2 linked regions of the Cricetulus griseus genome follow. The protein of the gene in region 1 purifies or fractionates together with the protein of each later gene. This does not show direct contact. Links are inferred from orthologs where the notes say so. Each region holds a gene or a part of one and is shown in the gene's direction. Other genes may lie near its edges.

The links.
Region 2: the proteins of Chd8 (region 1) and Kpna5 purify together in Homo sapiens (affinity purification with mass spectrometry; 3 studies listed by BioGRID and IntAct, with this or other methods). This does not show direct contact. The link is inferred for Cricetulus griseus from reciprocal best matches to the Homo sapiens genes CHD8 and KPNA5.

Annotation. Positions count from the first base shown.
Region 1 is NW_023276807.1:207,299,939-207,303,760, reverse strand, and holds part of Chd8 (chromodomain-helicase-DNA-binding protein 8), read left to right. Parts: intron 1-119; coding exon 120-330; intron 331-494; coding exon 495-690; intron 691-1,310; coding exon 1,311-1,478; intron 1,479-1,724; coding exon 1,725-1,904; intron 1,905-2,051; coding exon 2,052-2,162; intron 2,163-2,858; coding exon 2,859-3,055; intron 3,056-3,292; coding exon 3,293-3,492; intron 3,493-3,573; coding exon 3,574-3,754; intron 3,755-3,822. UniProt on the Homo sapiens protein: ATP-dependent chromatin-remodeling factor, it slides nucleosomes along DNA; nucleosome sliding requires ATP. Acts as a transcription repressor by remodeling chromatin structure and recruiting histone H1 to target genes.
Region 2 is NC_048595.1:257,192,202-257,196,023, reverse strand, and holds part of Kpna5 (importin subunit alpha-6), read left to right. Parts: intron 1-19; coding exon 20-198; intron 199-3,363; coding exon 3,364-3,551; 3' UTR 3,552-3,822. UniProt on the Homo sapiens protein: Functions in nuclear protein import as an adapter protein for nuclear receptor KPNB1. Binds specifically and directly to substrates containing either a simple or bipartite NLS motif.

The DNA of each region.
Region 1 (3,822 bases):
GGGAGGGTCCAGGATCATACTGTTTTTACTTTGCTTACTTAACTCAAGCCGTTATGTTCAATAAGATTTTATATGTTTTCACTTATTCATAACATCATTTTTGACTATTTTATTTGTAGGTGCAGAAGAAAAAATCCTGATGGAATTTCGGGAAGCTTGCCATATTATACCTCAAGATTTCCACCTACAGGCCATGGTTCGGTCAGCTGGCAAATTGGTTCTTATTGACAAGTTACTTCCAAAGCTTAAAGCTGGTGGCCATAAAGTTCTCATCTTTTCCCAGATGGTACGCTGTTTAGATATCCTTGAGGATTATCTAATCCAGAGGAGGTAAGATGAGTCATTCTAAAATGTCGTGTGGTTATCATGTCTTCAAAAAGTTTCAAGGATAATTGTGTAGCTCAGTGGTAGAATGTTTGCTTGGCACATGCAAGACCTTGCTTTCTTCTACTTAGCCACATTTCCCCTTTGTGATATCCATCTCTCCTTACCAGGTACTTATACGAACGCATTGATGGACGAGTTAGAGGCAACCTTCGACAAGCTGCTATCGACCGCTTTAGCAAGCCTGACTCAGACCGCTTTGTCTTCTTGCTGTGCACCCGTGCTGGTGGACTTGGTATTAATCTTACAGCTGCTGATACCTGTATTATCTTTGATTCAGACTGGAATCCACAGAACGATCTGCAGGTAAAGGAAATTCTTTTTCTTAAAAACTACCTACCTAATCCAAGAGGTTGTTAGTAAATCACAGTCTCTTAGAAAGACCCCTCTTTCAAAGAAGAGGGAAATTGTTTACTTAGAGGTGGCAGCTACGTCAGGAATCCGCTAACTTTCTGTAAAAAAAACTAATGCTAAATGTAGGCTTTGGAGTCTGTAGGTTCTGTTTCAACCACTCACTTCTGCTCCTGTGGCACAAGAGCAACAGTGAGCAACATGGGTTGAATCAATGGGTCTATATGTGAATCTGATTTCATTTATAGAAAAGATAAACACATAAACTAGTTTGCTAAGCCAGGTGTGGTGGCTGTCACCTTGAATCCCAGGCAGAGGCCGGCAGATCTCTGTGATCTGCCTGGTCTATGAAGCAACTTCTAGGACAGCCAAGGCTACACAACAAAACCCTGACTCCAATAACAACAAAAAAAAAAAAACAAAAAAAAACAACCCCTAGTTTGCTGACCCCCATTTTACAAGGTGGGGCAGAATTTTCTTTTTGAAGTTTTTGGTTTTGAGTTGATTTCATGACTCTTTATGAGTGTGAATAACTAAGACTTGATATTATGTGTCTTCTTTCTCTTTTTAACTAGGCCCAGGCACGGTGTCATCGAATTGGACAGAGCAAAGCTGTGAAGGTTTACCGACTCATCACTCGTAATTCCTATGAGAGAGAGATGTTTGATAAAGCTAGCCTCAAGTTGGGATTGGATAAGGCTGTGCTTCAGTCCATGAGTGGTCGGGATGGCAACATCACTGGAGTAAGTCTGTAGACAAGTGTGTGGTGGGTCATAGTAATGGAGGGAGATAAACAGCAACCATTTCAGAGCATGTGTGATGTGTGTCCGAGGACAACTTTGTGCAGTCAATTCTCCTTCCTCCTTTCACCAGTGTTCGTGATACCAAGTTCAGGTCCCCAGAATTTGTATTGATGATTATTTTTGCAGTACAATTAATTGTCAACACTATTCTTTCGTAGGATTTTTATCTTTGTCTCGGTTTTTCAGATTCAACAGTTCTCCAAGAAAGAGATTGAAGATCTCTTAAGGAAAGGTGCATATGCTGCCATAATGGAGGAAGACGATGAGGGCTCTAAGTTTTGTGAAGAGGACATAGATCAGATCTTGCTGAGGCGGACTACAACCATCACTATTGAGTCTGAAGGGAAAGGCTCTACCTTTGCCAAGGCATGTTCTGTCTATGGCAGACCCTAAGTGGGCTGACATGGATAGAGAAAGCAACCTCCAGGATTTAAGTGTTTGTAAATACTTATTAATTTCCCTTTGTGTGTAAAGCATTATAGTTAACTTTATTCTGCCTTTGTTTCTCCCTAGGCAAGCTTTGTTGCTTCTGAAAATAGGACAGATATTTCCCTGGATGATCCAAACTTTTGGCAAAAATGGGCCAAAAAGGCAGACTTAGACATGGATTTGCTGAATAGCAAGGTGAGCTTACCTCTCCTTTGGGGCAGGGGGCGGGTGTAGCAGAAGACAATATACTTTCACTTTTTAGTAGTTCCAGCTCTTTAATACTAATTATGCTTATGGTGGAATATTATACACAAAGTTTATAGAAGCTTTCTCTACCTAGGATACCTTCTAAAAATACTTAGATGTTGTCTTAGTCATTGTTCTATCACTGTGAAGAGACACCATGACCATGGCAGCTCTTACAACAGAAACCATTTAATTGGTGCTTGCTTATAGTTTCAGGTTTAGTCCATTATTGTCATGGCAGCAAGCATGTTGGCACACAGGCAGACATGGGTACCTCAGAGTCTTTCATCTAAGATCCAAAGGAAGCAGGAAGAGACAGATACTGTGCCTGACTTGAGCTTTTGAAACCATAAAGCCCACCCAAGTGACACACTTCCTACTCCAGCAAGACCACATGTTCTGTTCCTTTCTAATAGTGCCACCTCCTGGTGACCAATCATTCAAATCTGTGAGCCTGTGGGGGCCGTTCTTATTGGAACCACCACAGATGTCTACCACCTGTTTCTTCCTGAGCCTTGTAGACTGTTTACATGCTTTAAGATCTGAGTACTTTCATAACTTACTTTCAAGATTATGTCAGTCCCTAAGTGTCTTCACTCTCTTCCAGTGGGCAGATCTCAGAAATAACTCTGATTCTCTATATAGAATAACTTGGTGATTGACACGCCTCGAGTACGGAAACAGACTCGGCACTTCAGCACTCTGAAAGATGATGACCTGGTTGAGTTTTCTGATTTGGAAAGTGAGGATGATGAGCGGCCGCGCTCTCGAAGACATGACCGGCATCACACCTATGGGCGCACTGACTGCTTTCGGGTGGAAAAGCATCTCCTGGTATATGGGTAAGAATACAACTTGTCACAAGCAGTGGGACACCTCTGCACTTCCTGACTCCTGACTCCCTGTTGCCTCAGATGGAGGATGTGACCAAGTAGTATCACGTAGAAACACTACCTTTAAGGGAGCTTCTGTTTGTTTTTCACTTTGGATGGAGATGGCAATTCTGGGACCCAGGGGAATATTACTGAATTTAAATCTCTCCCAAAATATTTGTGTTGTTGCTCTTCTTGTTTTGTTAGTTGGGGACGTTGGCGAGATATTTTGTCTCATGGACGTTTTAAGCGACGTATGACTGAAAGAGATGTGGAGACGATATGCCGTGCCATCCTCGTTTACTGTCTTCTGCACTATCGTGGGGATGAAAATATCAAAAGCTTCATTTGGGACTTGATTAGCCCTGCTGAAAATGGCAAGACAAAAGAATTGCAGAATCATTCAGGTAATTATCAGCTCCTTCCCTTTCATTTTTCTACAAGGTATTTAAGTCCTTTTCAGGTGTAAGGGTTTTTCTCAATCCAAGTCTTTGATGTCGCCCCTTTCCCAGGTCTGTCTATCCCTGTGCCCCGTGGGCGGAAAGGGAAAAAAGTAAAGTCACAAAGTACTTTTGACATTCATAAGGCAGACTGGATCCGGAAATATAACCCTGATACTCTGTTCCAAGATGAGAGTTACAAGAAGCACTTGAAACATCAATGTAACAAGTAAGAGCACTCACTATTCAGATAAGTCTGAATGAAGGCTTGCTACATTGTTGCTAAGGTATCTCTTT
Region 2 (3,822 bases), on another chromosome or scaffold:
TGTTAAAATTTCTCTGAAGGTATTTGGTAACCTTAGGCTGCATTAAACCACTTTGTGACCTTTTGACTGTCATGGACTCCAAAATAGTTCAGGTGGCTTTGAATGGACTCGAAAATATTTTACGTCTTGGAGAACAAGAATCTAAACAGAATGGAGTGGGTGTCAATCCATACTGTGCTCTCATTGAAGAAGCATATGGTAAGCAAGCAGTTGAAAGTTTGCAATTATGGGTATTCTTAATGATCTGCCCTAAGTGGCCTCCTGCCTTCTGCACCTCTACCCTTCCCCATTCTATAAGTTTTGTTTTCATTATAAAAACAGTATATTTGAAAAATATTTTTAAATAATTACCCATATCTTATATTGTAGCAATTCGTCTTCATCGTTTTCTTTTTACTATTTAACTTTCCTTATCTACCTTCCTTTTTATATTTTCCTTTTGTACAAAGACTTTGTATTGATTTAAGTAGTGTATGTTGTACATTTCTCCATGATTGGACAGATGTATACTATATTGGATAGAAGAGTGGGTATAGTTTAAGCAATGTTTTAGCAATTAAGGCCACATACTGGTAATTGACCATTAGTTTCCAATGCTTCATATAAGCCACAACAGTTATCTTTCTGCTTGTAAATTTGTTTCTTCTGTTTATTGGCAGCATTTTTTTTTGCCTTGATTTGGGATTTTTATTTTATTGATACTAGCTCTCAACGGTGTAGCTGAGATAGGCCTCCACTTCAGTTTCTTAGAAGTTGTGAGTAGAAGCATAGACCATCATATTCAGATAAATCCATATGTGCTGATATATTTTCAGGAATGCAAATGCTGAATCATAGGCACAAAATTGTTTTCTTTCCATTCTTAAGGACTTTTAGTTGACAGAGTCACTGGCTAGGTATGAAAGTACCTCTATAACTTGGTATTTCCTCTTATTGACTTGTGTAAAGTGATGTCACTAAGCTGTTTTTATGTTAATTTCTTAGTTTGTTTTGTATAGAATATGCTGTTTCTGAGCTAAAGAGATGGCTCAGTGGTTAGGAGCTTTGACTACTCTTTCAGAGGACTGGAGTTCAATTCCCAGCATGCACAGAGCAGCTCACAACTCTGTGACTCAAGTTCCAGTGGATCAGAGGCAGGCGGATCTCTGTGAGTTTGAGGTCAGCCTGGTCTACAGAGAGAGTTCCAGGACAGCCAGGGCAACACAGAGAAATGTTGTCTAGAAAAACTTAAAAAAAAAAAAAAATTAAATAAGTTCCAGTGGATCTAACTCTCTCACATAGAACATACATGCTGGCCAAATTCCATTGCATATAAAGAAGGATAAGTTATTAAAAAAGAAAGTGCTATTTCCCTTGTGTTAGTGTATTTCCTAATCACAATTGACTATTGAACTTTATTTAGTTCTGTATGTAACTTTTTTCAAAGTGATTATTTTTCTAACTTGTTATTTTGTGTATGGGATGGGTACATGGGCTCATGTGCCATGGCATGTTTGTGGAGGTCAGAGGACAGTTTTATGGATTGAACTCAGATCATCAGGTTCACATAGCCAGTGTCTTTAGCCATTGAGCCATCTTAGTAACCCTGTTTTTTATGGTTTATTATAAGGTTTTTCTAGAGGACTTTTTAAAAATATTTAACACATGACTCAGTCTCATCTATTTTTTTTTCCTTTTTTTTGTCACCTATTTCTTTGAAGTTTGCAAAATCATTGTCCTAATTGTGTTTGGGGTGTTCTGTGGTTGTTTACAGAGATGGTGACTGCTTTGCTTTTTCCTTACCTACAATATCCAAGTGGTGTGTCTTATAAAAAATGTTTTTATTGTTAGTTGGTGTTTGTGAACATGAGTTCCATAGTGCACATGTGAGTATCAGAGGATAGCTTTGTGGGATCAGTTCTCTTCTACTTCCCATGGCTATGGGCTCTAACTCATGCTGTCTGTCAGGTGTGTGTGGCCAGCACCCTTACCTGCTCAGTCATCTGCTTGGCCCAAAGTAATTTGTCTTTGAATGAAAAATAGTGTAGCATTACTCAGATCTGTGTAGAATTTTTTTCCTGAAAGCAATAAAATGGTATGCTACATATTTCTCTCATTCTTTCAGAATGAAGTTTTTTCTCAAGCTTCATTTATAGGTTGTACTTTTGGGGCATTCTGTAATAGCCAGATTATGGTATTTTCTTGTGATGTGCCATGGATTCAAATATCATTTGCATGTATTTCATACCAAAACCCTCTGGTTTCAATTTGTTCATTTGTTTTATTTCTCTTTCTGTTTTCATTATGTAGCATAGTTGTTCTGGAAGGGGTCTGTGGAATTAGTCTAAAACTAGACTTTTTTATAACTCAAGTGCAGATAATTTAACTTCTTGACGTAGTTAGGAACACACAGCAGGCTGGTTGGTGCTTGTAATCTTCCTCCCTGACTTGTGTCTTTCTTCATATTGTACTTCCCCCCCCCACTGTTTGTTTGCTTATTATTTAGAAAGACTAGATTTCATTAGCCTGAGCTATCCTGGAACTCTTTGTATAGTCAAGGATAATGATCTTGAACTCCTTATCTTATTACCTATACCTTCCCAGTGCTAGGGTTACAGGCAAGTACCACCTGCCTGGTTTTATACAGTAAGGGTGTTTGAGTCTAGGGCTTCCTGTGTGGTAGTCAAATATTTTTACCAACTGAGCTATATCCCTAGTCCCCTATATTTGTCATTCTTAAAGAATAAGGCATGAGTGTGAACTCATTTATTTGTGCAAACAATTTTAAAAAATTGACCAATCTTAGGAGTGATGAGCAAAGGGGTCAAGACCAGGCTGGGGAAACCCACAGAAACCGCTGACCTGAACAAGGGGAAGCTCATGAACCCCAGACTGATATCTGGGAAACCAGCATAGGACTGAACTGAGTCCCCTGAACGTAGGTGTCAGTTAGGAGGCGTGGGCAGTCTATGGGACCTCTGGTAGTGGATCAGTATTTATCCCTCGTATATGAATGGACTTTGGGAGCCTATTCCCCACAGAGGGATACTCAGTCAGCCTAGACACAGGGGAAGGTCTAGGCCCTGCCCCAAATGATGTGACAGACTTTGAAGATCCACTGTGGAAGGCCTTACCCTTCCTGGGGAGTGGATGGAGGGGGGGTGGGATGGGGAGTTGGTGGGGGGCAGGGGAAAAGGGGAGGGAGAGGGAACTGGGATTGATATGTAAAATAAGATTGTTTCTAATTTAAATTAAAAAAATTGAAATAGAAAAAATAAATCTCCCAGTCTTAGTGGAGTGAATGGATGCTATTGATTTGTTATTTTCATATATACTGAAGCCCTAATAATAATTTGTTTCTTGCATGTGTTCTTTCTATGATAGGCTTGGATAAAATCGAGTTTCTGCAAAGCCATGAAAATCAGGAAGTTTACCAAAAGGCTTTTGATCTAATTGAACACTATTTTGGTGTAGAAGATGATGATCCCAGCATTGCACCTCAGGTGGATGAAAACCAGCAACAGTTTGTATTTCAGCAGCAGGAGGCACCAATGGAAGGGTTTCAGCTCTAACAGGTGGTGGAGAAAATGATGGACTAAACTGGCTAGCTTCAATATCTCTTCCACATTACCAGTATTGGTAGAAATGTTTTTATATAATACAGAAAAGAAAAAAATCTGATGCACTTTTAAGAAGCAAAAATGAAAGAAAAGTTTCCATTCAGATGCACCCTTACCTTATAGATTTCTGTTTGTTGTTTTGGTTGTTCATTTTGATGTAGTTATATTTGTCTTCTGTTGTTTGGATTTTTATATATATTTGTGAATATACATTATGCAATTA